Linked DNA regions of Arabidopsis thaliana. The protein of the gene in region 2 binds, or shares a complex with, the protein of the main gene of each other region. Each region holds a gene or a part of one and is shown on either strand. Other genes may lie near its edges.

Region 1 (7,948 bases), on a different chromosome or scaffold from region 2:
TATGATACATGATCCATATCCATGTGCAGCAAGTGTCTTCCCATTAACTCAACTGCTATACATTTATAGGAAACAATTAAATACATGTTATTCTGAAGAAACTCTTTTTTATCACAAATTACTAAATTAGTGAGTCTCCATACTCCAATGACCAATTTTATCATACATATTCAATTTTGCAAATGTTACAAAATCCTATCAGGAAAATTTGGCAAATCAATGAGCTTCTTCATAAGCAAAAATGATTCACTAATCAAAAAATTTGATGAAGAAAACTTGCAGAGAAACAATCTTCTAAACCATCTTATACTCTGTTTCATAGTAATCTAAAGTCATCTGATTGTTACCAGTAGTCACCACAAGAACATTTGCCATCCTGGAAATGATGGTAACGGATCGGATCTCGTATAACGATACTGCGGATTTCAAGCTTCGATGCGAGCTTGCAAAACACATGACAATCCCCACATATTCTCAGATTCTTTCTTATCCTAATGACTTTCTCAATAGGTAATGTCATCAAGCCAAAGGCTAAAGCCAGTTTCTCACTGTGATGTCTAAGTGAATCTTCCATTTGTTCACCTTCAAGATCTTGTAGCACAAAGTTTGTTTCAGGAACATAGCCAATACCAGTGAGTCTATGGATCAATTGGTTCAGCTTCTTACTGACTTCAACTATCTGTGGGTGAGAATTGTCTCCAATTATAAAAGCATGAATCTGTTTGTTTACTTCGATCCAGCTGCATCCAGGTTCTTTCTTGATTCCTCTGTCTCTCATTCGTGTCCGAATTTCTTCAACACTGTCCCATTTCTGAGAGTTTGCGTATATGTTAGACAATAGTGTGTAAGTTCCTGCATCCTCGGGATCGAGTGCTATGACCTTTTTAGCTGCATACTCCGCTAGCACCATGTTTCTTTGAACCCTACAAGCACCAAGCAAAGTTCTCCATGTCACAGCATCTGGCTCACACTCCATTTCATTTAACAGCTTCACTGCATCGTCGAGCTTTCCAGCTTTTCCAAGCAGATCAATCATGCAACCATAATGTTCCCTCACTGGATCGATTCCATAAAGTTTCTTCATTGATCTGAAGTAGTACCAACCATCTTCCAGGAGCCCTGCGTGGCTGCAAGCAAAGAGAACCCCGACAATCGTAATGTAGTTTGGCTTCGTCCCAGAAGATTTCATACGCTCAAACAACTTCAGTGCCTCCTGGCTATAACCATTCTGTGCCAACCCTGAAATCATAGTGCTCCATGTAATCACATCTCTCTCCTTCATCTGGTTGAACACACGGAGAGCATCCTCCAAACTCCCACACTTGCAATACATGTCCACGAGTGCGTTGTTGAGTATCAAGTCTTGGTCATATTTCACGATATGAACATGAGCTTGCATCCCAAGCTCCAACAGAGCCAAACCAGTACAAGCCCTCAATACGCTAGTCAACGTAGCCTGCTCCGCAATGAAACCAGCTCTCTTCATCCTCTTAAAAAGCTCCAAAGCTACATCGCTTCTACTATTCTGAGCAAACCCACCAATGATCGAGTTCCAAACAATCGCATCACCTGTAACCATTTCATCGAAAACCGAAAGAGCATCCTCCGGCTCACCCAGTTTAGCAAACACATCAATCAAAGCACTCCTAACAAAAACATCAGACTCCAACCCCTCCTTAATAATCCCACAATGAAGCATTCTAACATCAGACATACCATTGCAAGATCTCAAAACAGAAGAGTAAGTATACACATTAGGCCTCACATTATCTCTCAACATCAAAACCAAAAGCTCCAAAGCCTTTTGATGAATCTTACACTTAGAATAAGCAGAAATCATCGTAGTCCAAGAAATAACATTCCTTTGAGGCATTTGATCGAACAGTTGGTGAGCATCATTCAAAAGATTGAATTTTACATACATATTGATCAGAACATTAACCAGAAACATCATTGGTCGATGACCATTGAAGTATAAATGACGACAAATGAGATTCCCTTCATGAACAGCTCTATTAGATATACAACACTTGATAAGCTCAGAATAAGTTGCAGAGTCTGCCCAAAGACCATGACTTTGCAATGAATCCATTGCTTTCATAGCTCTGGGAAGGTCTCTCTGGTAACAGAGTCTGGTAAATTCGCTAAGAAGAAGAGTTTGATCTGTGGAGCTGTAAGAACAACGTAACGTGACGACTGGTCTAAAAAGTTTGATCTTTGACATTACTGACTTCATCGTCTCCACTAAAACTATGGAAACAACTTCAAAAATTTCAAATCACTCGCTTATAAATCCATGGTTCAGTAACGAGAAGACTCAGACATTCGATTTTTCCGGTTTACTTCAGTTCTGGTTAAGGAGATTTTGTGCTTTGGCACAACGAGATTTGAGAACGAAGTTAGGTAAGTGTCCATGATGTTCCAAATTGTTTAAATTGAACATATATGTTTCCAACATCACACCAGAGAGTTAGATGAAATACTCTCTAAATCGCCAAGTTAAACTAATAGAGAGACATATTCTTTGAGAAGAAAGTCTTTAGACAGCCTCTGCAGTAACGAACGGGTTAGCGATTTCTTCGGTGCCATCGGTTGGTGAGACAAGCATCACCGCTGTTCCACGGCAAACCTAAAAACAAGACAAACCATCATGATTTAGCATCTAAACTATGGAACTCCATTACAAATAACACGATGCTAGAAGAAACAATGATATTATTTGCACTAAACAGGATTACACTTATAGTAATGAAAAAAGAAGGTAAATGAATCATACAATCAAACCAAGGCGTCTTGTCTGATCCGTAGTCTTCAAAGGATCATCATGATCTGATCAAAACATAACACAAGGGTCATAAAACTGAGTTAGATCTATGGAAATATGATCCCACTTCTAGTTTCAAAATCTAGCTAAGAGAATGAAATCATCCCATTCATATCACCAACATAACATGATTAAGCAATCAAACAGTCTCTTCTAATCAAAATTTCCATATATCTTCCAATGGCATCATGGAGACATCTGTATGAACCAGAGTAATAAACTTCATAGCAATACAGAGATTCGTTTACTAAGAGGCGGATTCCACTAGAGAATTGTAGCCTAACAAGATCAATGCAGTAGATATAGGTAAGATAAAAGATACCTCGAACGAACTCGACTGCTTCATCAAGAACAAGATTAAGCAATTGGTCATAGCCTTTAAGAGTTCCAGTCACTGCAAGCAAAAAACATAGCAACTATCAAACAAATCTCAGAGAAAACATTAGAAAGAATCATCATCTTTGGAGCATAATGAGAGAAACACTTGTTTTATTACCTTGTCTACCACCAGTGAGCTTAACTTGCACACCCTTATCTACAAACTTGGCCAAATCTAAAACCGTTTCTTTTCTTCCAGACTGTGAATAACAAACACTCGCTTAAGAATTAACTCGACTCATATAACAATGATACTTTGCTACTTCAATTTAGGTTAAACTTTACCATGTTAGAGCAGAGTCTTCGACAATTCCCTAAACAAAAACCCTAAAGATCTGCAAAAAACGGAAATCAAATTGGTTCAGAATAGAGTTGATGATTAAAAATTAGGGTTTGCAATTCTTTGGCCCCAAGTGGATTCGGAAAATGTGTGAATTCGGAAATCAACAAGTGGATGAAGAAACCTCACCGGAAAAGCAAAGATCAAAGTGACGGCGTGGAGAGTTAACCCAGAAACTCAGGCGAAGCAATCGGAGAATCTCACAAGGAGTCGCGTGAAATCAGAGTCAGTCAAATAGTCGCAGCTTCCTAGTGACGCTTTTTGTTTTTTAACTCTGATCTCGTAAAGGACTCTGGTTTAAATCCCTAACCATGGTTACCATATTATTTGAACTGAACCGTAAATTGAACCATAAACCGATAACTAAACATTAAATTGTTAACTAAACCCGAAATAAAATTGGAAGGGGATATTAGTTAGGAATTAATAAAATCGTAATACAATTGTTCAGTTAGCTAAGAAGAATAAACATCATCTGAATAGAAATTACAATAAAGACAACTAAATTTAGCATTGTCATTATACTCCTTACTTTTAATCTAATAAAATAGATGTTTAAAAAACAAGATAACTGGTAAACACAAAGCAAATTTACCACAACGGCACAACCTATTAAAAACAATTACTAACAAATTTAACCAAAAATAAAATTAAAACGAAACATAAGTTTGATCCACCTCTAATTCTGAGCAACGCTTTTAAAATTTAACTATGAACTTGTGAAGTACTTGTAAGTCGTAAAGTAAATCATTTGGTAAAATCTCTTAACCATCTATCGACACAAAACTCCAAAAAAGAAATTTTTGATTCTTTTACGAAAAATGCACACACATTTATAAACTCGCAAATAGTAAATATCTCTGTTAAAAAGATTTGAATAACTTGACCTAGCAAAATTTCAGGTATTCAACGGCCGAATCGAAATTTAAATAACACCAAATCGAGTAAAATTAAGAGATATTAGAGCCGTAAAAAAAAGATGAATAAAGATTCAAACGTGTTGTTGACCTTAATTTAGACTAAAAAAAAAATCTAAACCGAAATCTCAATCATTAACGAAGAAAGAATCACTTTATTCATGAATCAAAACCAAAAGACTTATAATTACATGTGAATTCGAAAATTTCTTCTATGTCATCTTCAAATCTTCTACATTTGATCCTCATCACTTTATAAAGTTCTTTGCAGACCAGTTTGACTCTAAGACTCTTAATCTCTCCTCTATTGCTTGGATTGGTCATCGTAGCCTGAGTGAGACTTCATTTGTGCGTATTCCAACGAGACGATGTAACTTCCAAAGATTGTCATTGTCTTACTTAATCCAACGCTGATAAAGTAAATACAAAATAGATAACTAAAAATGAGTCAACTTTATTTTGTAAAAGCTCCACATACATCCGTTTGAACTCAGTCGGGTCAAATCGGCCTGAAAATGCTTTTCTACTAAAACCATTTATCTTCAGCATTGACGGATATCACATTTTATAAATAATATAATAGATTTTTTTCTCAAAATTAGTAACTAATATTATCATGAATAAGTTATCAATCAAAAGTTTTATCATATGTCATGATTTCAAAAGTTTTTAGTCAACGTTGATAGATCATCTTTATATATAAAGGGTTTTAGTCAATGTGATATATTTTTCATTCAAATAATTTTTAATCAATAATATTAGTGGTGAAAAACACAATAAACAGTAAAAATAAATATATTTTACTTTTGAAAGATAATTTCTACTTACAACGTCATTATTTATTATTTTTACTGAATTTAATTTTAGTTATAAAAAAATAAATTCGTCCATCGGACGGATCCTTATCTAGTTAGAATATATAGTCATGTATATATATGTAGATATCATAATATAGTTTGTATAATTGTATATTTTGGGTTTGTAGTATTTGTAACTTTAGTTTTTCTCCTTTGGATATATTGTGTTAAGTTATTAGTTTGGTCATTTTTCTTTCATGTTAGTGGCATCTTAAACTATCGGATTTTGGTTTTTAGAATTAATTTAATAGCATTTTCTTGATCAGTGATATCAACAATGTGTGTTTTGGAACTTATTTTAAAACTATATCAAATAATTTATATATAAAAAAAATAGATATATCAAAGTGGATATCCATAATCATCACAAAAAAAATTCGGGTATCCGAATATTTTGGATGAAAGCAAATCATAAAATCAATTATTCTGTTAAAACGAATCGAATAACAAATATCACTAATTTTCAGGATATTTTTTCGTGTCCAGCCGTAGTGAGGACTATTTTATAATCTCCCTCTTGTTTAATTAAATTTTGGTTTCACTTTTATTTTTTGGACAAATCATAATCGTTATCGAAAAGTAAATTATAAACTATTGAAGTCTGATACACCGGAGAGATCAAGCTAGAGAAGGGAACAGAGGAGAGCTAAAACTCATATCTAACAGAATCTTTATTATCATGTAAATGTTTTTACAAAATCTTAATCTAAATAAAGTGTACTTAAGCTTATATATACATCACTAATAACCATACTAAACCAACCATCAGATAACTGATGTTAACCTGTCGCACCATATATCATAATACGCCCCTCTCAAACCTTTACGTTCTAAGTGTCTGGTTTATGAAGATAAAGATTTGAAATTGACATCTTCTGAAGTAAATGATGGAATGGACCGGGATGTAATGGTTTTGTCAAAATATCAGCATGTTGATTCTCAGTCGGAACATGTAGAGTAGTGAGATGACCAGCCTTGATTTGGTCACGAACTGTATGGCAATCTATCTCTATGTGTTTAGTCCTCTCATGAAATACCGGGTTCATAGCAATGTGGATAGCTGATTTGTTGTCGCAGAAGAGTTTTGCCGGACAAGTAACTTTGATGTGTAAGTCTTAAAGCAGCTGTTGTAGCCAAATAATCTCACAAGTGGCATGAGCAAGACTTCTATATTCAGGCTTTGTACTACTCTGAATAGCTACTGATTGTTTCTTTAGTTTCCATGAAAGAGTGACCAAGATAAACACAATAACCAGTAACTGATCTACGTGTATCTTTGCAGGTTCCGCAGTCCGCATCCGCAAAAGCATTCAAGCATAATTCTGAATCAGCTGAGTACATTAAACCTTGACCATGGTTAGATTTAATATACATGAGCACTTTGTATGTAGCTTGAAGATGAACATCTGATGGTACTGAAATGAACTGACTTAGCTGATGGACTGCAAAAGTAATGTCTGGTCTTGTTATTGTCAGATAAAGCGATCTTATTCTTGTTTGTGGAACAAAACTGAGGAAGAAACAAGATCAACCATAAGCGTAAAAACCGATTCTTCATTTCTCCGGTTTGATTGTTAATACCGGTTAATTCAAATGATAACCGTAATTGAAATTGATCGATCTGTTACTTTCTCTGGTTTTGTTGCAGTCCGGTTTGATCACTTGGGTTACTGTATCCTTATTTCTAGGCATCATTACCTTGCTAGGAGGATCCTAATTATTATCTCATACTACATACTTAGAAGAGAATTTTCCAATGATTAAAGAGGCGTGTCTTAGAGTTCTGATTATAACAGTTTCATTATCTCGCATAATAATACATATTTTTTGCTACATTGCCTCAAGACCTCGTATATGTTTAGGGCTGCATCAAATCTTTACTTTAAGTTTTTGGAGGCATTATAGCTTCTTTAACCTCCTTGGCTTTATCTCCGACGTACTTGGCCGTTTTCTTGCTCACATCCGTCGCTATATCTATAATTTCACCGGCTTTTTCAACAATGAAGTCTTTGGCTTTCTCCGATATTGAAGCAGTTTCTTTCTTCGTCTCCTTGCCTTTCTCCGTCACAAACTCCGAAGCAAACTGAGCAATTTCAGCCACATTGTCGATTGCTTCACTAGCTTTCTCAAACATATAGTACTTTGCTCTATCTACATGATCATTAACATCTTGCCCTTTCTGAGCAGACGCATGTCCCACTTCGCTTCCCTTCTCCTTCACGTAGTCGGAAGCTTTCTGTCTTTTGTGTGTGTGTGTGACAATTTACAAAATTATTACACATGAACAAATAAAAATGTGTTTTGTATGAAAACCAAATTTATATACTTAGTGTTCCCATTTTATGAAAACCAAATTTATGTGTAATATTTCATAAAGTTAACAAAAAAACTCTCAAGAGAATAAATTATCAAACAAAAAAAAATCAACAAATTTTATTTCTAAAAAAATAACTATAAAAAATTGACAGAAATTTGAAAACAATTGACCAAAAAGTAAAAAGTAATGGTGAAACATATTACTAAATCATAATGTATCATTTATGATTTTTCTATCATAATATCTCTTATAATAGTATAACGAAAAATCAGTATTAACGATATAGACTTACGAGGCATCATCGAGCCATTTGGG
Region 2 (8,108 bases):
ACTTGCTAGCTTCGGCTTTCGGTACACAGATCACGCAATTTATCTCCTTCATGACTTCAGTAAGAGCAAGAAGAAGTGATGTGTTTCAAAGGAGAGACTTTTTGAAACCTGAAAATATTGTTTGGTATGCAAATGACCAAACAACTCCAAAGTGGGAAGATCCTGCTTCTAAGTTTTTGGCATTGGAGATCAAATCAGAGTCAGAGGAAGAGGAAACTGCGTCATTGGCTGAGCCAAATGAGCCAAAGAGCAATGATCTGTTCATCGGATTCAATGCGAGTGATCATCCTGAGAGTGTAGTCTTACCTTCACTTCCCGATGGAAGCAAATGGAGAAGATTGGTCGACACAGCTCTTCCTTTCCCGGGGTTTTTCTCTGTCGAAGGAGAAACCGTTGTAGCAGAAGAACCGTTGCAGCAACTGGTTGTGTATGAGATGAAGCCGTACAGTTGTACCCTTTTTGAAACCATCAATACTACCGCTTAGAACTCAAGTTATGATCTTTGTATATGTTACTGTTTTGTTACATTTCCAGTAAGAATATATTCAGTTAAATCAATGATTTCCACAATATCTTATATATATATAACATCACTTAAGCCTTTTGCTTGTATCCAAAGCTTGATACTGTATCTCCTCAAATCAGTGATTATTATTCGTTCTGATACGCGTATGCCTTTTATGGATTCAAACGAGTATGTATATGGAAAGATGATTTTCTTCAAGATTGATATAATCTTTATTTATTTTGTATAGATAGGATAAGATATGGATTGCTTAGGGTTTATAATCTTAAGCAAATTCTATAAGTAAAACCCAAAAAAGTTCTTCAAGTTATTCTCTGTAGCTATATTTTTTCTTTGAAAGCAGCAGGAACGTGATCTGAAAAATGAACGATGGTTGCTGCTCAAAGTGTCAGGTTAAAGCAACGAAGAAGAAGAAATCGAAGAAAAACGAAGGTGAGTTGTTTAACCTATTTGAAGATTTCTTACTTTTATCTTCACAAATCTTAAAGTTTTTGCCTTTATGATGCACAGATGAGCCTGATGAAGAGGATGTGAAACAAAAACAGAAAGTTTCAAAGAATGAGAATCCGAAAAAAGATTCCAATGGGGAGAAAGGATCAGATGAGAAGGATAAGAAGAATAAGAACGTCCTCAGATGGCCACAAGACTCAAGTACAAAGAAAGAGAAGGGTGATGGTAAAAACTTGTCAAGCGAGGAAAATGGTGGTAAAAACTTGCCAAGCGAGAAAAATGGTGTGAACCCGCCGCCGCCTTGTTACACCGCTCAACCGATGATGTACCATGGTGGACACAATCCTTTACACCGGTGGCCCATATCCGCAGCCTCGAGAAGCCATTATCCCCCGTTTTCGATGGGGGCAATGCATGGACCATATGGTGGTTGTGGACCTTGTGGTGGTCCAATTGATCCATACCAATCCATGCCTCGACCCAGAATGTTCGATGGTGTTCACATTTCACAATATCCGCCTATGGCTGCAGCATATCCGTATATGGCTGCAGCTGGTCCTTTCCCCTATTGGCAAACCAGACCGTACATGGATGCAAATCCTATGAAGCGTTACACTACCTATGCAGAAAATTACTCCTATTTTTATTCATGAGTCTATGTTTTTCCTCTGTTTGCTTCATCTCAGAAATAAGAAACTAAATTAATGACAAGAGTTAAGGTCCTATTGCTGCTATGCAAACAAGAACTCATATTACTTTATATAAGTTCCTTCTTACTGAGTCTATATGTTTTTCCTCTGCTTGCTTCATCTAAGAAAGGGAAAAACTTAAGTAGTGACAGCCTGACAAGAGTGAAGGTGTTTCTAAGTAGGCTTTAATAAGCTTTTCATTTGAACGAGGAAAAGAAATTAAATTATCCATTGTTAATAAAATGGAACAAGATTCATGGCCATACCATTGGCTCTACATCAGGGAAATATTCATTATAAAGCCATTACGCCGAATGAAAAGTATTCAAGTTTTGGAGATACAAAGATATTTCAGAATCAGCCACCCCTAGCTTCTCTTCTAGCTGCGTCGTGAAGCAAATCAACATCGACTCCATCTTTAGGTAACTGCACGTACCTTACCACAGATCCTCTGATGAAACAGTTTCTCACTGAAAGCTACACAGAACAAACACACAAATCCGTCAGCTAAAAACATCTTCGGGAGGATTCTAGCGAAATTGTACTATTTGACAAGGTTTCTAAAGTGTGACACTGACAAGATAAAGAAATACAGTGCCAAAGATATAACAATATAAACGCCATAAAACCTAAATGCATTGAAATTGGTCATGCAAACATATTGCAAATCTTTTGTAATCCTGAGTAGACTTGACAAATTGCAGTACAAAAGCAGCAATCTCAATCAAATATGTGAACCAGAACCACTAATCACTTCAAATCATCCCTTTGCGTCTGTAAATCTAATCAATATCACGTTAGAGCTTCTCAAGCTTGGTCACAGTAAATGAAAGCAAGGAAAAAGAAAAGAGTGAAGGCTTAAACACATTTGCAAGAGCCAAGGATTAAGCTTTCAATCAGTTCATAAGTGATATTTTACAATACGAGACAAAGAAGTATAGCAAGAAACTAGCGAGTGAGATCAATTCCAGTATAATGTCAAACACTTAAGAGCACTTCAAGCACACACAACAAAGAAAATATTGCCTATGTGAACAAAAAAAAAACAATAGGCTGCTCCAATAAACCCTAAATTCCCAATTCTTAGAGAAATCGCTTAAAAGAAAGAAAATTTACCATGTGAGGGTACTTGTCCTGGTCAACAACCCTAGTGTTCTCGAGCTTGATATTCAGATACTGATCAACTGAGTGAAGAGTTCCTCTTATGGCTAAATCATTCTTCAGCTCAACCGTCACTTCTTGTCCAACCAAATCCTTGAAGTAAGAAAAGAACAACTGCACCAGAGAACAAACACAATCAAAACCCATCACGAGAAACCCTAAATCATCATCGAAAACCATAAACTCGAAATCTCCAAGAACCCTAGAACCATTGGCTAAAAAAGAGTAAACCCATGAATAATTACGAAGAAAGAAGAAACCTTTTCTAGGTCAAACAAAACAACTGCCAACAATCAAGTTCATGAAGATGAAGAAAGCATTCAAATTTACCATTTTTGTTTCCTGCTGATTTCTACCTCTGCTCGCAATTCAACAAAGAAGCTGAAAAAGCTTTGCGGGATTTGAGGACTTTAGAACTTCTCTCTCTCGAGTAAAGAATGTATGTACCCTAATGATCTTTGGGTTAATTTCGAGAATATAAGAAACCAAAGGTATATTTATGTAATTATTGAAAAGATTGGGTATGTTCTTGGTAATTTAAGTAATAAGTGCCTCAAAGGGTAAATATTTAAAAACTCAAAGTGTGTTTTGGTCACCAGCCAAAACTGAATAAAGAAAAGATTTACACAAATCTTATAATATCTGACGCATATATAGGCGAGATTGCTGACGATAAGCTTTTTCGTTTTGTTTCCATGGTTTTGTGACGAAGAAGAGAAAAAAAAATAAGAAGTCAGTTTTTTCTCAATGGCTTCTCATAGCTATTCAACACTTAGGTTTAGTCTCCTTCAAGAGCTAAGAAGCAACGAGATCATCAAGGTCAGTTTTTTACTTTCTCTGTTTTAAAACACTTGGGTTTAGAATCTCTCGTTGAATTCTTGTCCTGGTTCTGTCTTCTCCTTGTTTGGTTCTTATGTCTATGAATGATTCAGACAAGCCGGGCTTATCTGGTGAATCCTGGAGGAAGAAAATATGAGATATTACCGGAGAGCTCCTTTAACCTGAAATCACAACTCTTGGAGCCATTGAAACCTTTTTCTTCTTTTAGTAAGTCTAACCACTTTTTGGAGTTTGATTCAACCATGATGAAGCATAGACTCATGGATGTTCATGGTATGTGACTTTGATCAAATTTCAGTTGAATTCACCAAATTGTAATCCCTTTTTTCGACTGACATGAACTGTGGTTAACAGAAACTGGACCAGACCCTGTGTGTTTAAGCTTGGGGATCACTCAGCAGTATGCAAGAAAAGAGGAGGTGTTAGAGTTCCTTTTGTCTAGATCAGAAGAAGAACTCAAAGAAGAAGGATTCGATTTGTCTCTCCTATCTGAATTGATGGGTCTAGATGCTTTAAGATCAAGTTCTCAGCAACCATATGCAAAGCCGTTATTGGATCTCATGGTGGATGCTAACATTCTGTTCTCAAGTAGCAGAGCTGAATTGAATGATTTGGTCTCTACGGCAGCTGAGTTTCATAGATTAAGGAACTCAACAAGATGGAGAAAGCTCTCACGGCTTGTCCCGCAGTTTCAGCGGTAGTTAATTCTTCACTGCAAGTTTGATTCATACCTATGAGTCTCATCCTTTTGGGTTTAACATTAAGTTTTTGCTCTCCTCTCATTCTGCAGATTCGACAGTGAAGTACCAATAGACACTCTGCAGCTACCCGAGGACGCAGTTACACTAGCTCCTCCAAAGAGGTATCTAATATCATCAACTAGTTTTTGGTACTTTTGCATCTTTAAAAAACGTTTCTTTCGATTTCCAACAGTCCGAAGAAAACCAGGCTCAAGCCTTCACCAAAGAAACAAAATCCGAAGATAAGAGATAAGGAATATGACCTCTACGAACGAAACCGTCTTCATGCGTGTGAGAGCCTTCTCTCTCTGATGATAGGCAATGAACAACATAGAAAAACCACAATGCTATCTCTAAAGAAATCACGTGGAGAACTCTTCGAGCTTTTGACTCAGTGTTCAATTGGCTTTGCTGGCACTGGTATGGCTGTGCTCTTCTTTCTCGTTTGTAATGTTGCTTCCAGGCAGGTACCCTTTTGCGCAAACCAATTCTTCGAGGGTGCAATGAGTTTGAGTTTGGTATTGCTCTCGTGGTCTGTGAGTAGACTCAGGGAAGCCCTTGTTAATTTCAATAGGAAAACAATCAACGAAGAAGAAGTCTCAAATAAAGTGGAAAGAAGAATCAAAGAAGTTTACTTCAGAGCTGCCACAGTTATTGCCATGGTTGCACTTAGGTTTGGTTGAATGTTGGAATGCTGATGATTTGGAGTCTAGTTTCTAACTCCATTCTTTGGCTTGCTTAAAGGTTAATTTGTCAATGTTAGGTTGTAGAATAAAGTGAAGATATCACACTGGGAGAAGCTTTTCTTTTAAAACACTAATCTCTCGTTTATTTGATATAAACTCTCAAAGTAGTAGAAATCTCATGAGAGATGAATCTTTAGATACTAGAGAACAGTTGTGTTTTTTCGTTTGAAGAACTTTTAAATCTGCTATAGCGACTTAGCTCATCACTTTTGATACCACACCGGCTCCAACTGTTCTACCTCCTTCCCTTAGAGCAAATCTTTGACCCGTTAAAATCGCAAAATAGAAACAACTTGGATTACTCAAGAAACAACTTGCTTTCTCGCCTTGAAATGGTGATTGGGGTTTAAGTGAGGGTTAATTACTCACGCGAGGGTTTCTCTTGGATCCATCCAGATCCTTTTCTATCCTTTTCTGTGTTCTTCTTACCAGTAAATTCTCAAAGGACGTCGATTGTGGTTTTACACTAATAGTTTCACATCGATTCGTTGCATTATTAAAATCCAATCATAAAATTTCTATTTATACATGCACACATACGGTACATGTTCAATTGAAACATTTTCCCTAACTAGACATGCCAATAAATAATAAGTTGGTTTGGTCCAAAAAATAAAATAATAAGTAAAATTCTACAAAACAAATGGTACAGTTTTGTTAATAACTAGATATTCATCCGGGTACACAACGTATTTATATTTTTGTTAACAAGTTAAAGATTTTATTTTAGTTAATAGTATTTATAAATGATAAACATATTAAGAAGTACACAACGAGCCTATATTTTTCTCAAAAATTTTTATTTTTTTGTTTTAAAGATGATTTATAGATATATGCTATTGCTTTTTTTTATGTATGATACATCTCGAAATGATTTATATAACTAAATTTCTGAAATTTTAAGTTATTTTTTGTATTAATATTGTAAATTTTGTTTAATTTTAGAATTTTACCATAGTATATCATTCCGTATTAATATTGATCCAAACCGTCTCACCATATATCCTAGTTCTGTGAAATTAAACATCATTTTGTCATTTTCTTATAAAGTTCAAATCTATATAATATTTGAAACTTCAAAAAAGTTTTAAATATATTGTATTATATCGTCCCGTATTAATATATTTTTAAATATATATATTATATAAAACTTCATAAGAGTTTTAAAATTATAAATATTAAAACGTTTTAAGAAGTTTTAATTTTAAAAGTTTTACAATTTGTAATATTTAACTTTTTTGGTTCTTCACAAAGGACAGAAATTGAGATTAATTTTGACACAATTAAAGCTCCGAATTCGCAGGGGTCAGTTGATTGATATACTCAAAATAACTGGAGAGAATGACTATCGCAAGATGAATATATTCAAACTTTCCTCAAACCACCTTCTCAAGTAAAATTTAAAAACATATTTTCAAATCAATGTAAAATAGAAACGTTGAAGAGAAAAACAACTGAAGAATGGGGGCAAAGCGCCAGAAACTTGTAAAAACAAGTAAAAGGATTGGCAAAAGTAAGAAAGCACACCACTTTAAAACTAACATTAAGCTTTGGATGATGATGATTCTTCTTCGTCATCTTCATCAATGTCCCAACTTAAATCTTCATCTTCCTCTGCAGCACTCAGACGTTTACGCAGCTCAGCTCTGTTTGGACTACCACCAGACCGACTCGTTTCCTTACCATCTATGCTACTCATATCCTCGATCTCGTCCCATCCCAAATCCTCTTCAGATGGTTGTTGAGTTGATGAAGAAGCAGCCACATCTGGTTTAGCTGAGTCTTGGGATGGAGCAGCCTCATCAGATTTTGGTTTGACAGAATCTTGGATTGGAGCCTCATCAGATGTTGGTTTGACAGAATCTTGGATTGGAGCCTCATCAGACGCAGGAGGAGCAGCATCAACAAATGATTTTTCTTCTGGAACTTCCTCACTATCAGTCTCCTTCTTTTCCTCAGAATCTTTATCTGTCTTCAAACCAACATTGCTCACTTCAGTCACTGAATCTGCACTTGTCACTTCATCTTGCGTGCTCACTTTAGCCACTGAATATGTACTTTCCACTTCATCTTTCACAGTTTCACTCACATCTCCACCACCCATACCATCATTCCCTTCAAGTTTCAACCTTGAAACATCTTTGGTAGCTTCAACAACTTTCTCGCTGCTCTCCTCTTCATCATCAATATCCCAGCTCAATTCTTCTTCATCATCCAGAGAGATGGCTCGTTTCACAAGATTAGCCCTTAAATCCTCAGCTTGCTTGAGCTTGTTAACCCTATAGAAATACCTAAACCAGAAGGTCTCGTGATCAACCATACTCGGAACGACCCTTTTATACACTCCTTTCATATCACCATTTTCCTCCAACAATTTCTCCATCTCCTCAGCTTTTCCATCCAGAGAAAACGCAGATTCCCACTTTTTGTAATCATCTGAATCCTCAGGCTCTTCACAGTAAGTGTTGAGATCTCCTTGAACAGCACGAATCTGAGCATCGAAACGACTATATGGTTTCGAACTGAAGCTATCACGACGACCAAAACTCTGACTACTATTGTTATCAGAAGAATCAGATTCATTACCAGCGGCTAAAATCGCTTCCTTACCTTGAGCAATAATCTCAGCCGTACCTTTTAGCACCGTGTTCCCAAGCTCATCAATCGCATGTCCCACCGTACCAAGCGATCCCTGAGCCACCTCGATCTCTTTCTTCAAACCTGTGCCAAATTCTTCGAGATCTCGTCGGTAGGTTTCAATCACGGATTCGGATCTGGTGGCTAGAGTTTTCATCAGACCACCGAAGCTCCATCCACCGTCGTCGTTAGATTCAGATTGCTCTGGATGTTCTTGCTCTGGATGTTCATGCTCTTCGCTGTGTTTCGGTGAATCGGATTCGGATTCGGTTTCTGGAGGATCTAGGTCTTCCGTGAAGACGGATTTGAAGAAATTCAT
Region 3 (7,261 bases), 5.8 Mb from region 2:
TAAGGTGGACAGAGCTGTGAGCACAAGTATCTACTTCTTGCTTCCATCTGGGAGCGTTTCTCGTCTTCATCGCATACCAATGGCTGAAACCTGGCACTTTTATTTGGGTGAACCCCTTACTGTAAGTTCAAAGCTCTTGTCTTTACAGTGAGTGAACAAAACTGTATAATGAGAAGAAGAATATAATCCATGTTCTTGAATATGGCTTCTTCTTCTTGCCTTGATCAGGTAGTGGAACTCTACGATGATGGGAAGTTGAAATTCACATGTCTTGGTCCTGACTTGTTTGAAGGTGATCAGAAGCCTCAGTACACGGTCCCTCCAAACGTCTGGTTTGGTTCGTTTCCTACAAAGGATGTTCATTTTTCTCAAGACGGGGCTCTGCTTAAAGCTGAGGCTAGAGACTCTGAGAACCATTTCTCTCTTGTTGGCTGCACCTGCGCTCCTGCTTTCCAGTTCGAGGACTTTGAGCTCGCGAAACGCTCTGATCTCTTATCAAGGTTTCCGCAACACGAGTCACTCATCACAATGCTATCTTACCCGGAGTGAAAGGGCCTACCTAGAGGAGACGCCTTATTGGCTCAATGGTTTTTGGTAACTACTAAGAGAAGGATACTATGTTTGCTTTGTTACTTCAACTTTTCATATGAATCATACAAAGGTTGTAACTGTACTTTGAGTTCACTTTTCATCTTTGTATCTTTGTTTTTACTGAATTGTGATTGATCAAATAAATGGCCAGTAAAGAACAGGCTCAACAATTTCATTCCATAAACAGAGCAGAGGATCTGCAACGACTAAGTTCTGAGGATTCATCAATGTCATCCACACATACACACATCAACTAACATTATGACGTTTAAGGATCTTCTGTATCCTCCATCTTGAGATCTTCTAGTTTCTACAATGCTGCAACACATAGGAAAATGCCCTAATCGAGATCAAGGAACTCCATTCTTTTCCGCATTGTGCCCTTTAAAAGCATTTCTTCCTTCTCTGCTTTCTGAGCCTGAGTATACGGAAGAGAGTAATTGAGGAGTCAGTAGAATCCAAAACACTAAACCAAATAAAAGCAAATCAGCTGTAGTACATTTGTGCAAGAAGCTCACAAATCAGAGCTAAAGCAATCAACAAGGGAGAGAAGGATATTTGCACTAACCCTTTTTATCTCTGCTTCTGGAACCTGAACCATATGAGCTGGAAGCTCTTCTTTTTCCACGTCCTAAGATCACAGAAACCCGATTCAAACACCGAAATCGTTCTTAAAAGTGGAAACTTTCATTTCAAAATGCAAGAGGAATTGGTTTGTTTAGTAAAAGCTTTACCAATTCACCAATCAAGACAACATTTTCTCCACGGATAATGTATAGACCTAAGGGAATATCACAGTAGAGATCACCCACAATGACTCTTTCATAAGCTTCTTCTAAAACAGCATTAGCTTCAAGAAAACCAAAAACAAACGAAACATTTCTTAAAACCATTTCAAAGACTTTGGATTTTCGGTGCAAAAGAGAAAGACAAGTACCAAATTGATCAAAGGACCGAAGTAGACCCATCAGTTTCCTACCATCACGAAGCAACACAAGAAGTTTCTCTGCAACAAGAAATCAAAACATTAAGAGACTATTGAATCATGTAGAAGAAGATAACATCTTCAACAACCATTGGGGATCAAAATCTTATTTTTTTACAGAATTCATCGCCGGTGAATCAGTAATGAGAAAGAGAGTGAGAGAGATTACTGTCTAGGTAAGCAGCAAGAGAAGTGGAGAAGAAGATATCATCAGGAGCAGCCCAAGACATTGGAATTCTAAAACTCAATCTCCTCCACTCGCATTTGCCTTTTTGACTTCTCAGTTTCCCAATTCCCGATCTTCCCTTTTCTTCTTCTCCTCGATTACTGAGCTTAAGAACAGAGAATCAACGAACCCTAATTTATTCACTAAGAGAGAGAGACTTGAGATCTATGGATCGTTTTCGTTAAGTCTGACGGCTCGCACGATTCTGTTCTGTCAAAGTTTGGTCAGACTGAGTTTTTTTTTCAATTTTAGGAAAAATACATTAAAACCCCAAAACTTCGTAACTATTGCATAATCAACCCATTTTATTTTGCATTTGGGTTTTCCTTCATTTCATTTTATTATTTAACAAGAAATCTCAGTCATTCTTCATTATTCATCACTTATTTCAAACTGCATAAATACAAATAAAATTATTTGATAAGATGAATATTTTGTAGTTTACATGAGCAAACAGATTTTCTTCACCACATTAAAATCTGAAAAAATAAAAACAAATCTATGATGAAAAATGGAGTTTGACAAGTAAATATACATCTGTAAACACTGATTATCAGAGATATTTTTATGACCCTTCTCCAATGTTATTCTTCATATCTTGAACAGTTGAACTTACACCATCACTCAATTGAGACCTGAAAAACATATTTTTGATTATTTGTCTTGAATCAGTGATCATGTTTGTTTGCTACTTTTTATATTTTACATAGAAAATCAATTTTTAATAAGAAAAAACTTTGGTTTTTATTTACATTCTATTATTACCATGACTATCAATCAGGTCCATTTAGCTTATTGGTTGATATCTACATCTCCAAGACAATATCTGTAACCATCAAAGAAATTTAAATTAATTTACCCTATCCATTATTCTTGTTTACATTTTTCTATTTGTTTATTTATCTATTTTTAAATTCTTACTTTTCATCTTTCTGCATTTTAATTCAGTCCTTATGATGTTTATTATATGCTTTTGACCTAACTAAATACTGCAATAAAGCCAGTCATGATATTCACTTGGTTAATTACACCATCTGTATGTTTAAAATAAAACTTTTTTTTTTTGCGACCTGAAAAACCAAATATATATAATTTTAGAAAATCTCACATTCAGAATCAGTCTTGACCCATTTGTTGGCGTCAACACTTGAACGAGCTTCATCCATAATCTTATGATTACTTTCCAAGTACTTCTTTGCTATAGAATTTGAACGTTGTGGATGTATCTTCTTGTTGAGTATTGTCCTTAGCATCTACACACAAAATAACATATGGAAAAAATGTTTCTAGTGTACATAACTATTATTGAATTCACTTCTTTTCATAATAAAAATAATATTTTGTTTAAAGATTGAATAATTTGATCATATATGCTTACCTTTTCCATTCGTGTGTTGTGCAATGAATCTCCTCTAGATAAATCAAGAAGAGGAGGTGGAGTTTTGAAGCCACTTGTGCAAACAAACATCTTCTTGAGAAGAAAAGAAAGCGATTTCTTCTTCCCGATAGTAACATCTGTATTAACCGGAGTTATATCTTTGCTAGAATCTGTTTCTTCTTCTTCTTCTTCTTGCTTGGGGAAGATATTGTTTCCAAGTGTTCCGATGGCTAAGAAGGTTTCTTCGTCTTGAGGCAAACCTTGGACTTCTTTACTCAAAGGAGGACTTGATGGTTCTTGAGCTATATATACATCATCAAACATATGAAACAAAAATATGAAAATATGCTCAAATGATTTATGCGAAGACTGTTCATGTAGTCTATGAATAATAAGAATATTTACTCACAAGAATCTGAAGTAGGCACACGCTTCTTTCCGCTAAGCTTTCTTTGAACCCAACTAAAAATCTGTGTAGAACAACAAGATCAAGATTTTTGCACGATCAAAGAAAGATCAACACTATTAATTTGATTTAGACATATATGAAAACCAACCTTCATATTTCAGAGACATGCATATATAAAAGCACATGTATGTGTGTGTTTATCCAAGAAATTTTCTTTTTCTGTCAATGTTCTCCAAGAAATTTTCTTTTTCTGTCAATGATCTTTTACTTCTTGAAATAGCTTTAGGAGATAAAGATGATCAAGTGGTCCCATGTTTTTAAAGACACAGTAAACACAAGTCCCAGAAGCCAGCAAAAAGCCAGCGATTAGAAAATTGGGTTCAAGTTTCTATACACCCTCGATATCAGTTTCTTACGACTTCAAGTCACCATTTTTGTAGCACTTGATCCCATCTTTGTGGACTTTGTTGGTACACCACAATTGCGTTATATACTTATAATATGTGGACCATTTTAAGAGATCGAAATCGAGTAAATTGTGAAGGAAACACATGGATTTGTCCCTTCTTTTACACTCTCTTCCCTGTAGCAACTATACAGAAAACCCACAGCTTTTATATTTGATCAGGCCGTACAGAAATTACATGCAGTGTGTATGTAAAATGTACAAACTTACTTTGAAACTTTTAAAGCTTTACACTCGAATTCAAAACCGATTTTTTTTTATAATTTAACTAACTACCCATCGTCTCCAGAACAGCAAACAGTTGAGCAACATTCAAAGCAGGCGATGCAAGCAATCGCTGTGAAGAGCTGTGTGAAGACAAGGACACATTGATCATTGAGCTTAGAGCAGCATTGGACACAACACATGCAGCAACATTTGTTGCACAAGGAGACACAACAGCTCGAAGCAGCCTTGACGAACTTCTCAGCAGCATCAGGAGCTTTCTGCTCGCCAAATCCTGGCGGAACATTCTCTCTGGTGGCTGTTTTATCCCCAAATCCTATCCCAAGGCTTTGTAGCGGGATCGTTCTTGATATCATCTTCTGTTTCTCGCCGTTGCTTGTTGTCTGTTGAAATATTTAGTGAATATATGTTATAATGAGTCTGGATTGGTCCTCTGGAACAGAATTAATCACTAGGTTTTGCTTGAATGTGGCGATTTTAGTTCATAACTTCTAGATATATAAATGAGTAGTACCTACCTTTTTCTTTCCGCCAGTTTCGCTGGGTTTCAATTCTTCTGTGTTCTCTAATTGGATCATTCGAGTATACTCGGATAGTACGCCGGTTTGGATGCTTAGTTTAGCAATCTGCGAAGAAGATAAAGCAAAATGAAGAAGCAAATCCTGAAAGAGGCAGTGGGGGAAGTGAATTGTAGACAAACCTTCTCTTTTAGCTGTTTATCTTCAGAAAACCATGCCTCAGCAGTAAGCAAGTCAATAACATTCTTTGCAAATACCTGAACATTAAAATTTAGGGAAAAGGATGAATTATGAATAAACCCAGAAGTCTTTATCGAAAGAAGCTCCATAGGAATGATACTGAGCAGGACGTAGATCTTACTTTATCAAGAGGCATGTCTTTTGCACTCTGTACAGTCAAGTCTGTCGAAAAGCTGCTCAAATCTCCTAGCAGACCTTTGGCTATCACATTCTCGGGGAACTTTCCTCGGTATCTTCCATATATCATCAATGGACTTGCAGACGTCAGATCCGGAATATTTGAAGGGTATACCTATTATTGTAGTCACAGGTAACAGTTTCAGTTTTAGGCATCAACTTCACAGAATCGGAAGGAAACAAAAATCCCAGAAAAGTCAAGCAAGCATAGAGGCACACCTCAACTTCATCTAGACTCTGAAGGGGCTCAATTGCTATATTAACAAGAATGGTGGATAAAGCCTTTGTAAACAGTTTGTCCATTCTTTCCTCAATGTGATCTGGACATCAAAGAAGAAGAACATTGTTTAAGAAACTATATTACAGATGTTAACTTTTTCCTTTAATTCACCAAACAGAGTCAAAGTTTCACCTGTATTATAAACTGATTCGTGCTGGCCACAGGATATATTTGCAAGCATTTGCAGGAAGTAGTGATTACAGAATACACCTGAAATATTGCAAAGAATCCAAAAACGAAAAGGTAAATAAAACGATCCGGGTTATTTAACATCAAAACCTTGGAGAAAAGTTTACCTAACCCAAAAGTGTGTATCCGAGGAAACACTGATCCAGCACTAGCTAGATGTTTCTTCATTACATCACAAATGTGTCTCTCATCTTCAACAGACCCATCTGTTACGAAGAAGATCATAGGAATAGAGCCACGAGTATTTGAAAGCATTTCCACAGCCTGAAAGTATTGAACAAAGTTAGCCGAATTAATGTCAGGATTCAATCAGAGGGGATATAATCACCAAAATGTTAAGCTACAAATGAGTGGCGGAAAGACCTTCTCTAGGGGAGGGAGCATGTTTGTACCATCTGCGACGACAAAGTTCTTGTTCATCCACTCAATGCCTCTTTCAACAGCATCAGAAGTGACTGACTCCATTGATGTCGAAAATAGAGCAGTATCATTGCTGAAAGTGATAATATTGAAAGAATCTCCAGGATCAAGCTTAGATAGAGCTGTAGATATCGCATTTTTTACATCCTCGAGAGGTTTTCCAGTCATACTTTTACTTATGTCAACAACAAATACTACCTCCCGCTTGAATGCCTAAAGTTGACAAAACAAAACTTAAGATTAAAATGCAAATGAATTTATTGCTAGAGAAAAGAAAGAGTTAAAAATCAAACCTTAGTTTTTTGCTGCTTTCCTGGAAAAAGATAGAAAGAAAATATGTCCCTCTGATCAACATCGTGAACAGGCGCAGATTGAAGGAAAAGTCCACCAACTATATTACTTGAGGAGGCCTACGATTTATTAGAAAACAAATAAAAGCATAAGCACTCTTTACAACTAAATTCAATCCAAATTTTTTGCAAGTGCATACGCGAAGTTGGAGCACCACCAGTTAAAGCCAATACCGTATAAGAAAAGCTAAAGTCAGTGTTCGACCACTTCAAAACATCTGCTTCATATGCAAACCTCAACTTCCCTGCACTCCGCAATTTCTCCTGTAATAAAAGAAAGGAATAAGAGTTAAAATGATAGAGCAAAAAAATTGAAATATTATGGAGTGTATTCAGAAAAATCTATAAAATCAAACCTTTAGTTGATGACTGCATCCTTTGCAGAGAACTTCTGTTCCAGTACCAGCATTAACACTCAAGTAAATCTTTTCTCTTTTTGAGATTTTCTTTACCGCAGGAGTCACATACTCAGGAAAGTTGAAAGGAATATCAAGAAAAAACTGCCCTTGGTTATACGTCAACTTCTGAGACCAAGTCATCTTGATAGAGAGATTGGTACCTCCATCAACCTGAAAACAAGAACAGAAACGATATACATAATCAGAATGAAGAATAAAGAAAAACACAAGAGGAAGAACATTTAACTCCAAATCACCTGTGGTATAGTAAGAGTGAAAATGTTAGGTTTCAAAAAGCCACCAGTTTCAGGTAGTGCCGTTTTCTCAAATTCGTTTCCATCTTCTGCTGTGATCAACTGCGTTGTGTACGATTTTCTAGGAATCTCAACCTCAACACCTAGTATTGATC
Region 4 (8,145 bases), about 24 Mb from region 2:
CAATGAAGTTAAATCTATAAGAAGACCCGGTTTGAAATGGTGTAAACGAATTATAATCAAACAAGAAAACCAAACAACATAAATAAATATGTTTAGTTTTGGGGTTTTCAGTCCGGATAAACCGGTATGATCCAACTCTACCAAAAACGATTGATTTGAATGAATTAACTCTATTATATCCGAACTATTGAATATGAACCGAACAAAAACTATCTAAACCAAATTTTGTTTGAAACTAAAGATATACAGTATTTGACAATCCTAATCCAAAATGAAAGTAAACCCAAAGCCAACCAAAAAAATTTAGACATCCCTAATTTGAAAAGAGTTTTAAAGTCTTCCTTGTGTACGAACCAAACCAAAGGAAAAGAACAGAAATCAACCAAATAAACCGGTTTTGTAGTGAGATTTTGAAGCCTTCCTACGTTAAAAAACCAAAAGAAAGCAAACCGGAGTAAACCAAAAGTGACGTACCATTGCTTAGTTGATGTTCCATGTACCACACGGTAATCTTGCTCCCATCTTCATAATAAATTCCAATCTTCTCGTTCGGATTCTTAGCGGTTATAGTCACGTTAAAAGCCGTAGTCAAACTCGAGTCTTGGTTCAGTGCAAACCGGGTGAGCTGTAACCGGTCAATAGAGTAATCCGGTAGCTTCGGTTTAAAGACAAGGTATAGTATACCAATGGATGCGCCTACTGCAACGACAAGAAGCAAAAGAAAGCAGAACGTGTAGCAAAAGCATCTGCAACAACAACTTCTTCTCTTCTTTGGAGGAGCCAACGGCACGAACCGTTGTGGCCTTTGGTTCAAAGGGACTTTGGATGGGTCTCCATGTTCTGATCTAGAGGAACCACGAGGAACCAAAGGAGCTGTTGGACGCGCTGTTGCGGCTTCTGGATCTTGGACCGGATAGATTTTTTGGTGTTGAGACATTTTTGGAAAATCTTGATGACACCAAGAAGAAGAAGAAGCTTTGTTTGTAGATCTTATTTAGGGGTTTGGGAAATTAATATAAGTAGGGACCTTATGGAGTTTTTAAAGTCAAGAGGGAAGAACTTTTCAATGGAGAGACTTCTCTATATGAACCTATAGATTATGAAAAACAAGTACATTCGCTTCCATACAACACATCACACGTGTAATGTGAATTTGCGTGTCTGCTTAGGTAGCGGTCTTTTATGGAAATTGAGTTTGATGTGAACCCATCAAATAAAAAAAATAAAAATCATTAGTAGGTATCAAATTACTTGCAATATAGATGGAAAAATTAGGATGACTTTTTGGAAAATACATATATTGTAGTCCTATACATTATCAAACAACTAAAAGTTATATCCACTTAAGATATTTTCCAATTACTATTTGTTTCTTTTTATTTCCTATAATTTTTTCTATTTACTCTTTTGCTCTTTCATGTTTACTCTTCTTGATTTATTTATATTTCATATATAAATGGTACTTAATCTACAAAATAAAATTTCATATATTTACGCCTCGCATTGTCTTTGAGAAAATACAAGTTTTTAATATTTAGATCGCATATAGTTTGACTAATAGGTACATTATAAAGTCAAAATACATTTGATGAAGATCTACTTTACTTTTGTTGACCTAATCCCCTAAGACTTATGCAGCAGTGTTCTCATGCATTTCGTCATGAATTTTTTTTCTTTTACTTTTTTGTTAACATGCTTTATTTTATTATTTTTTTTGCAAATAAAATTCCATTCGAAATCCCTAGGCCCCAACGATGTTAATTTATTTGTAGTGTTTCTGTTTAATATTAATCGTTATCAACGAAAAATTTTTAGAACGCAATTCTTTTGTTCTTCATATTAATAACCAAAAATCAAAAGCTTCTGATAACACTTACTATGAAAAATTTCAAGAAATAAATCACTTAATATGAAGAATATTACATTGGAATCGTAAAAGAAGACCCAAGACTCCGATGAAATCAGAAGTGTTTGGTTTTGGCGAGTTATTACCAAAACCAACGACTTGTATGATGCGACTATGGGAGAATGACATATTAAGTTAATATCTATATTGTTGTCTTATAGAAAATGTATGATGCTTCTAAGTTTTAAATACGGCCATTTGTTGATGTTGATAGATTTGATGATGTATATAATCCTTCTAGATGAAATTGCAACGACATTATAATTTGTAAGATACCAGAAACTAATTCCTCTTTTTTTTTTCTTTTGCAATTTGAATATCTATAAAATTTTGGTTAACAATAAAAGTTTTTTTTCTAATCAAAGAATTTGTGGTCTAGTAGCAAACCTAGGTCCGTCCAAAAGATTGTATGATTTAAGTTTCCGACCAAAACGTTTAAGACATAAAATATCATATAGCTTTTGTCCTTAGGATACACAAATAAGACAACTCCAGACATCAAAACAAACTATCCAAATTGTTTACAATCAAATCTTCTCTTTGTTTTTAGGCTTTGAATGAGAGAATTAGATTTTCTCACCATAACTATATTCAATCAATGCACTACGGGTTTCAACGGATGGGCTCTCAGCTTCGAAAAATCCAGACTAGCATCAAGCTCCTCGTCCAGCTCCCCGATAACACCTCTGATCAAAGATGACACCATTTTTTTTATTGAAACAAAAAAACAATTGCAATGTTAGAAAATCACTGATGATGATGGATGATAAGAATTACATGTTGTCCCCTCTGATGATGTACAAACCCAACACATGTTGTTGTACTCCTTCCTGCAAAGATGAAGACATAGTAAGAGGTCTCAATCCTAATTCCAATATCCATCATTTTAACAGAACTCTGCCTTCACACCAAAAATATCCAAGAACATTTGTCTAATGAAGTATCAACATGACCTGACATACTCTTAGTGTAAACAAGAAAACAGACATGAATCAAACCTTTAACCCTCTTACGAAAAAAAGGAGGTGATCATGTATAATTAATTACACACTGCCAATATCTACGTATTTGACTTACCTATCACTAGCTAAATCTTTTGACATATGAACTCACAAGATTTTTTCAATCAGTTATAACACTCGAAGAATACTAACACTAAATCTGTTTCGGTGTATCCAACACTATCTGATTTAGATACTTCCATTCAGAGGCCAGTTAGTTCATGATTCACTATTCTCTTACCAAACAAAGAACTGTAGGACAAGGCCTATCTTAAATATCTGAGTAAGTTTCCTCAATATTCTGTTGAAAAGATGACACTACGCAACTAAATCAAGCAATGTACATTATTAGCAAGAACGTAGTACCAATTAAAAGATCAATACCAGACGACGAAAGATGCTTTGAGTGACAATGAACAAAAGATAAACTAGCATCCTTATAGTACCTCTATTTTTCTAGTTTTATGCGATCACTACAAACAAAATATGGAGACATCGAGAACTCTGCTACATCATAGCCACTCATGGATACAAACCAACAAGGTTTTGCAGGTCATACACTGGCCAATTTACTTGCAGAAAAATGTATTTGCACCCATTCAATTTAGTAACATCGAAAAGTTCAGATGAAAATACTTTAAAACAGGAATCAGAAGCTAACCTTTGTGGAAAACACACGTTCATGAGATTCATCAAGGATTATATTTGTAGCCTGGTCAAAACCTTTAAGAACTCCCTGAAAAAATATAAAAATCGATCTCTTTACTAAGATACTTGCATTGACATAAGGAGTTCTAAACCAGATATCACACAAGAGAGTATAACATACCACAATGTTGCGTCCGTCATTTGTAATCACCGAAATAATCTCTGCAGCAACCAATCAAAAGATAAGATCTTTAGACAATTCATGTGACAGAACATCACATATCAATCGAGAATGGCAAAAAAAAAGACTAACTTACGATCGACGAGAGTCTCAAGTCCAGTAGTTGCCGCCATGTTACAGTTCGGAAATTATTTGAACTGAAAGGTTACTAAAAATTAGACTAGGAATTTCATCGAACACTTGGTGTGCTTACGGATAACAATGAAAAATTAATAGATTTCGTATCCATCTCAACGAGAGATTTCACCAAACTTAACATAAATCCAGAATTACGAGAAACAAATGATAATTCCAGTGTAATTTGACCTAAATTAAAAGAAACCACCGAATAGAAAACGAATGTAAAACAGGTTCTGGTTCACCGGAGGGTTTCAAGGAATTCAGAAGAAGAAACGTATGAGGGAAAAGCTCTAACCTTTGCTGCTTCGGAATCTGAAAATCGTTACTTGGCGGAGATTCTGATTGGTAAAGAAACCCTAAAAACCTTTTCGTCACTGTTGTTCTTAGAAAACTCTCCGGCGTGTGTTTTTGCTTTTGGATGTTGCTTTTAACTACGAAATGTTAAAAGAAATACTCAAACCGAACCGAACATTTTATCCGGTTTAGTTATTTTATCCGAAACCGACAATTCTGAAAATTTTCACCTGAACCGAACTGTTTAATCCACCAAGTATGCATGGTTCGGGGTTCAGATCGGATTCAGTTTAGATTTTTTGGATTCATCCGATACAAAAATTTAGTATATATTTGGGTTCTATGATTATTTGGTTCGGTTTTTGGAAAAAACTACATATTTTTTCAAAATTTTAATAAAAATTGAATTACAAAAAATATATAATTTTGTCATTTAGTTTAGGTATAATACTAAGAATTTTCGGATATTTTGGATATATATAATATATCTAAGATATTTTTGGATATTTTTGTTAATTGGTTAAGGTATAATTATAATTTAAAACATCTAATAATTTTGAATATGTAGATATTGTTTCGATTTTTCAGATATACTGTTTGGTTTTTGTTTCTGTTCGGGTTCAGTTGGGATAATTCGTGTAAAATTATTTAAAAGTCTCTCCGGTTATATGATTATTTGGTTTGGTTTCGGGTCCGATACAGGTTTTTTGGGTTTTATGCCAGACTGAAGATAAGAAGAAGATTCATTGAAATTGTCAAATTGACATCTGAATTACAAAATAAACCAAACAAAGGAAACAACAATAGACAAACAAAACAACAATTTCTCCATATTAAACCGCAACAACACGAGTTTCTGTTATTGCTAAAAGTGAATCTCCCTAGTCACGTAACATTGTTGCTACCAGATGATTCCTCCAACGAACCACCACCTCTCTTCACAGTCACATACTTCTCAAAACTCGGTTCCATAAGATCGGCTTTCTTCACCGTCGATGTGAATCTAAACCGGCTCGAATCAGACCTCAAACAAGTTCTGTTCGTCATAGAGTTAAGATCAGCCACTGCTTCAACAATTGAACAAGCTTTACTAACACACAATGGCAGCGAAATCACGCTATCATCAACACTCTTCCCATGAAAACTCTGAATATCTTTCAACAACAATGCAGTGTAATTGTTATCCTCGTTTGATACCAAATCGAAATCTCGAGATTTCCTCAACGATCTGCTTCTGCTTAACACAACTTGAGGAGCTTTCGTAAGTTCTACAACAGCAACACGACTCGGGCTTGGACCTCTACTTGTTCTTGAATTAGGTTTCACAGATTCTATCATCTTCTTAGTGTTTTGATCAATCTCTCCCAATGGATTTCTTCTATAGGGAGATTGTTCCGCCTTTCTTGAATTACTCCGGCTTAGCGAGGGAACATTATTCCCCGCTCTAGCCGGAGATTTTGACCTCGGAGACGCCGCTATTCTGCAAGCGTCTCCGATGTTTCTCTTAACCGTAATCCGTTTTACTAACGGCTCTACATTGTTACTCTTATCCGTTGCAGGAATCGTAACAAACTTTCCCGGTCTATTATTACTCGAATTTACCGAACTGCCACACGAATCAGCGTTACGAATCTCAGAACGTTTCGCCGGAGATCTACTCACTCTCCTACTACCACCGCCGCCACCGCCGACATTTCCTCTTTCTCTGCTTCCCGATCTTTCTCTTTCTCTACTCGGAGTTCGTCTTCTCCGTTCACGAGGCGAACCATGCACTCTCTCTACTCCACGGTGACGATTTCGCTGCATTCCGTCTTCCTCCGCCGCATCGCCGCCGCGGATTCTCTCGTTCTGGTCAAAATCAAAGCTTCTTTTAGAACCAGAGTATCTTCTTGTTTTAGCAGCAGAGTTGCTTCTACTTAGCTTCCCACATTGTATCAATATAGCATCAACTTCTTCTTTAGTACAGCTAGAGATTCTCACAAGCGGTGTAGAATTCGATTTCTCAGCCGCCACAGGAGAAGAAACTGGAGAATCTTTATCTGATTCTGTCTTCTTGGATCTCTCTTCATGGCTTCTTGTGTGTTTTATCACCACAACTTCTTCTTCTTCTTCTTCTTGATTCAGTTTCTCAGATTTGGGTTTTGCTTCTTCCTCCAAAGGCTCAATCACTGGTTCCATGGGTTTGATTGGATCTGAGGGTTTAACACTAGAGGGAAGAGAAGGGGAAGGTTTCTTGCTGAGACAGCAACCCATTTTGTGACAAAGAATTTTGAAGAACAGAGAGATTTTGAAGTAGAAGTGAGTCAAGAACAAGAGAGTTTTTAGGGGAATGTCTTTTGTGTAAGAAGACAAAAAGATTCAAAACTTCAAACTTTTTTGTTTGGTAATGCGATTTGTGACAGACAAAAGTTCTTTTATTTCAGAAAGTATTCGGATAGGACCCATTACTTTCTAAAATTAAGAAAAGTCGGGTGAAATTGTAAGCTTTGAAGAATAATGGGGTCAAAGTGGAATTAATTTATTTTATTAAAGATAGTAATTTTGAAATTGGAGCCGTTATACACACTGCAGTCAATGTCGTATTATCTCTGACCCTTTTTGCCTTTTTCAAAGCAAAATGGTTCTCTTCAAAAATTCTTTTAATAAGTTTTAGAATTCCAACGGTTATTTGCATGTTTGATGGTTTTGTTTGTTTACCAAAAGAATATGAGGTTACAAATTAGGATATGAAGAAATAAACATCAGTAGTTTCTATTGAAAATAAAATTTCGTTTTATGTATAAATAATTTACTGAGTTTGATTAATGATATTTGTTGTTAATCGAGTGCTTTCATTAATATTAACTCATGTGACCAAACTGAATGGTGATGTGCAAGTTTCTTCATATGTATAGTGGAGGACCCAAAAACAATTTTATTTTATTTTATCAGATAACTAAAATACTGAAAAAGAAACGATAAACAATTTCTTTTGAGGTAGTTTTTTTGAATATATATGTAGTTTTTTAAGAAAAGAGTACCAAGACAATTAGGTTCTTTTGAGGTAGTTTTTTAAGAAAAGAGTATATATGTAGAAAGCAAAATCTTGCACCATTTGTGTTGACAATCGAAAATCGGACCGATTTTGAGACATCTATAGATTCTATTACCAAGACAATTAGGTACTGGATTTTACATACATAAAACAACCTCAAATCAAATAGTAACATAACAAAGGATTGTTACAAGGCAAATAACTACTAGACTAGAGAGAATAAGGCACTTAATTGTTCCTCTGCATCCAAGACATCAACCTTTAAGCTATATACATACACAACGATGACCATTAGCAATAGAAACTAGAGACTCTCAATGCTTTGAAAGCTATGCAAATCAGAAATTAGTATCAATGAGAATCATCCACATATCCTGCGACCTACTTAAAAGGGTCTACCTACTAGGTAGTCAGAAATATAACAAGAAACAGAACAGAAACTAGACACTGCCTAAAGTTCACAATGCTTGAAAGCTATTAAACCACAAAATGGGGCAATAAGAACCATATATACAGATGACCATAAGCAATAGAACCTAGACACTCTCAATGCTCTGAAAGCTATGCAAAACTCAGATTGGGGTCAACCAGAGTCATCCCCATATCCTGCTACCTACTTAAAAAGTCTAGCTACTAGCTAGTCAGTAAGATTACAAGAAACGGAACCGAAACTAGACACTACCTTAAGTATGCAATGCTTGAAAGCTATTAAACAACAAAATGGGGCAATGAGAACCATACACACATATGACCATAAGCAATAGAAAACTAGACACTCCCAATGCTTGAAGGCTGTTCAAAACACAGATTGGTTAACGAGAATCAGACACATATCCTGCGACCTACTTAGGTTCTAGCTAATCAGTGCTTGAAAGAATGAAAGCTATTAAACCACAAAATG

Evidence for each region.
Region 1: LSM2 (region 2) and EMB2816 share a complex: the UniProt entries of both Arabidopsis thaliana proteins name them as parts of the heptameric LSM1-LSM7 complex.
Region 3: LSM2 (region 2) and LSM1A share a complex: the UniProt entries of both Arabidopsis thaliana proteins name them as parts of the heptameric LSM1-LSM7 complex.
Region 4: LSM2 (region 2) and LSM8 share a complex: the UniProt entries of both Arabidopsis thaliana proteins name them as parts of the heptameric LSM2-LSM8 complex.

What each region holds. Positions count from the first base shown.
Region 1 is NC_003071.7:1,175,848-1,183,795, reverse strand, and holds EMB2816 (Small nuclear ribonucleoprotein family protein), read right to left. Parts: upstream 3,826-7,948; 5' UTR 3,672-3,825; intron 3,580-3,671; exon of another isoform or gene 3,538-3,579; 5' UTR 3,491-3,537; coding exon 3,488-3,490; intron 3,403-3,487; coding exon 3,321-3,402; intron 3,219-3,320; coding exon 3,147-3,218; intron 2,830-3,146; coding exon 2,777-2,829; intron 2,630-2,776; coding exon 2,540-2,629; 3' UTR 2,284-2,539; downstream 1-2,283. Other genes in the region: REME1 (Pentatricopeptide repeat (PPR) superfamily protein), read right to left, coding at 344-2,236; AT2G03850 (Late embryogenesis abundant protein (LEA) family protein), read right to left, coding at 7,199-7,556, 7,926-7,948. UniProt on the Arabidopsis thaliana protein: Component of LSM protein complexes, which are involved in RNA processing. Component of the cytoplasmic LSM1-LSM7 complex which is involved in mRNA degradation by promoting decapping and leading to accurate 5'-3' mRNA decay.
Region 2 is NC_003070.9:816,139-824,246, forward strand, and holds LSM2 (Small nuclear ribonucleoprotein family protein), read right to left. Parts: upstream 3,426-8,108; 5' UTR 3,160-3,425; coding exon 3,157-3,159; intron 2,941-3,156; coding exon 2,782-2,940; intron 2,143-2,781; coding exon 2,023-2,142; 3' UTR 1,796-2,022; downstream 1-1,795. Other genes in the region: DBE1 (debranching enzyme 1), read left to right, coding at 1-485; AT1G03320 (uncharacterized protein), read left to right, coding at 889-958, 1,037-1,629; AT1G03340 (uncharacterized protein), read left to right, coding at 3,574-3,645, 3,759-3,939, 4,021-4,363, 4,457-4,528, 4,600-5,089; AT1G03350 (BSD domain-containing protein), read right to left, coding at 6,696-8,108. UniProt on the Arabidopsis thaliana protein: Component of LSM protein complexes, which are involved in RNA processing. Component of the cytoplasmic LSM1-LSM7 complex which is involved in mRNA degradation by promoting decapping and leading to accurate 5'-3' mRNA decay.
Region 3 is NC_003070.9:6,602,833-6,610,093, reverse strand, and holds LSM1A (Small nuclear ribonucleoprotein family protein), read right to left. Parts: upstream 1,980-7,261; 5' UTR 1,807-1,979; coding exon 1,746-1,806; exon of another isoform or gene 1,598-1,745; coding exon 1,529-1,597; intron 1,442-1,528; coding exon 1,326-1,441; intron 1,223-1,325; coding exon 1,160-1,222; intron 1,010-1,159; coding exon 932-1,009; 3' UTR 725-931; downstream 1-724. Other genes in the region: AT1G19130 (RmlC-like jelly roll fold protein), read left to right, coding at 1-121, 229-549; AT1G19115 (uncharacterized protein), read right to left, coding at 2,609-2,628, 2,911-3,055, 3,181-3,482, 3,590-3,650, 3,738-3,743; AT1G19110 (inter-alpha-trypsin inhibitor heavy chain-like protein), read right to left, coding at 4,328-4,663, 4,799-4,906, 4,981-5,055, 5,160-5,330, 5,435-5,535, 5,628-5,705, 5,792-5,948, 6,048-6,317 and 4 more. UniProt on the Arabidopsis thaliana protein: Component of the cytoplasmic LSM1-LSM7 complex which is involved in mRNA degradation by promoting decapping and leading to accurate 5'-3' mRNA decay.
Region 4 is NC_003070.9:24,431,962-24,440,106, forward strand, and holds LSM8 (Small nuclear ribonucleoprotein family protein), read right to left. Parts: upstream 4,334-8,145; 5' UTR 4,281-4,333; exon of another isoform or gene 4,212-4,280; intron 3,934-4,211; 5' UTR 3,910-3,933; coding exon 3,873-3,909; intron 3,778-3,872; coding exon 3,737-3,777; intron 3,644-3,736; coding exon 3,569-3,643; intron 3,226-3,568; coding exon 3,149-3,225; intron 2,868-3,148; coding exon 2,816-2,867; intron 2,737-2,815; coding exon 2,684-2,736; intron 2,593-2,683; coding exon 2,502-2,592; 3' UTR 2,242-2,501; downstream 1-2,241. Other genes in the region: AT1G65690 (Late embryogenesis abundant (LEA) hydroxyproline-rich glycoprotein family), read right to left, coding at 475-937; AT1G65710 (serine/arginine repetitive matrix-like protein), read right to left, coding at 5,096-6,463. UniProt on the Arabidopsis thaliana protein: Component of the nuclear LSM2-LSM8 complex which is involved splicing nuclear mRNAs. LSM2-LSM8 binds directly to the U6 small nuclear RNAs (snRNAs).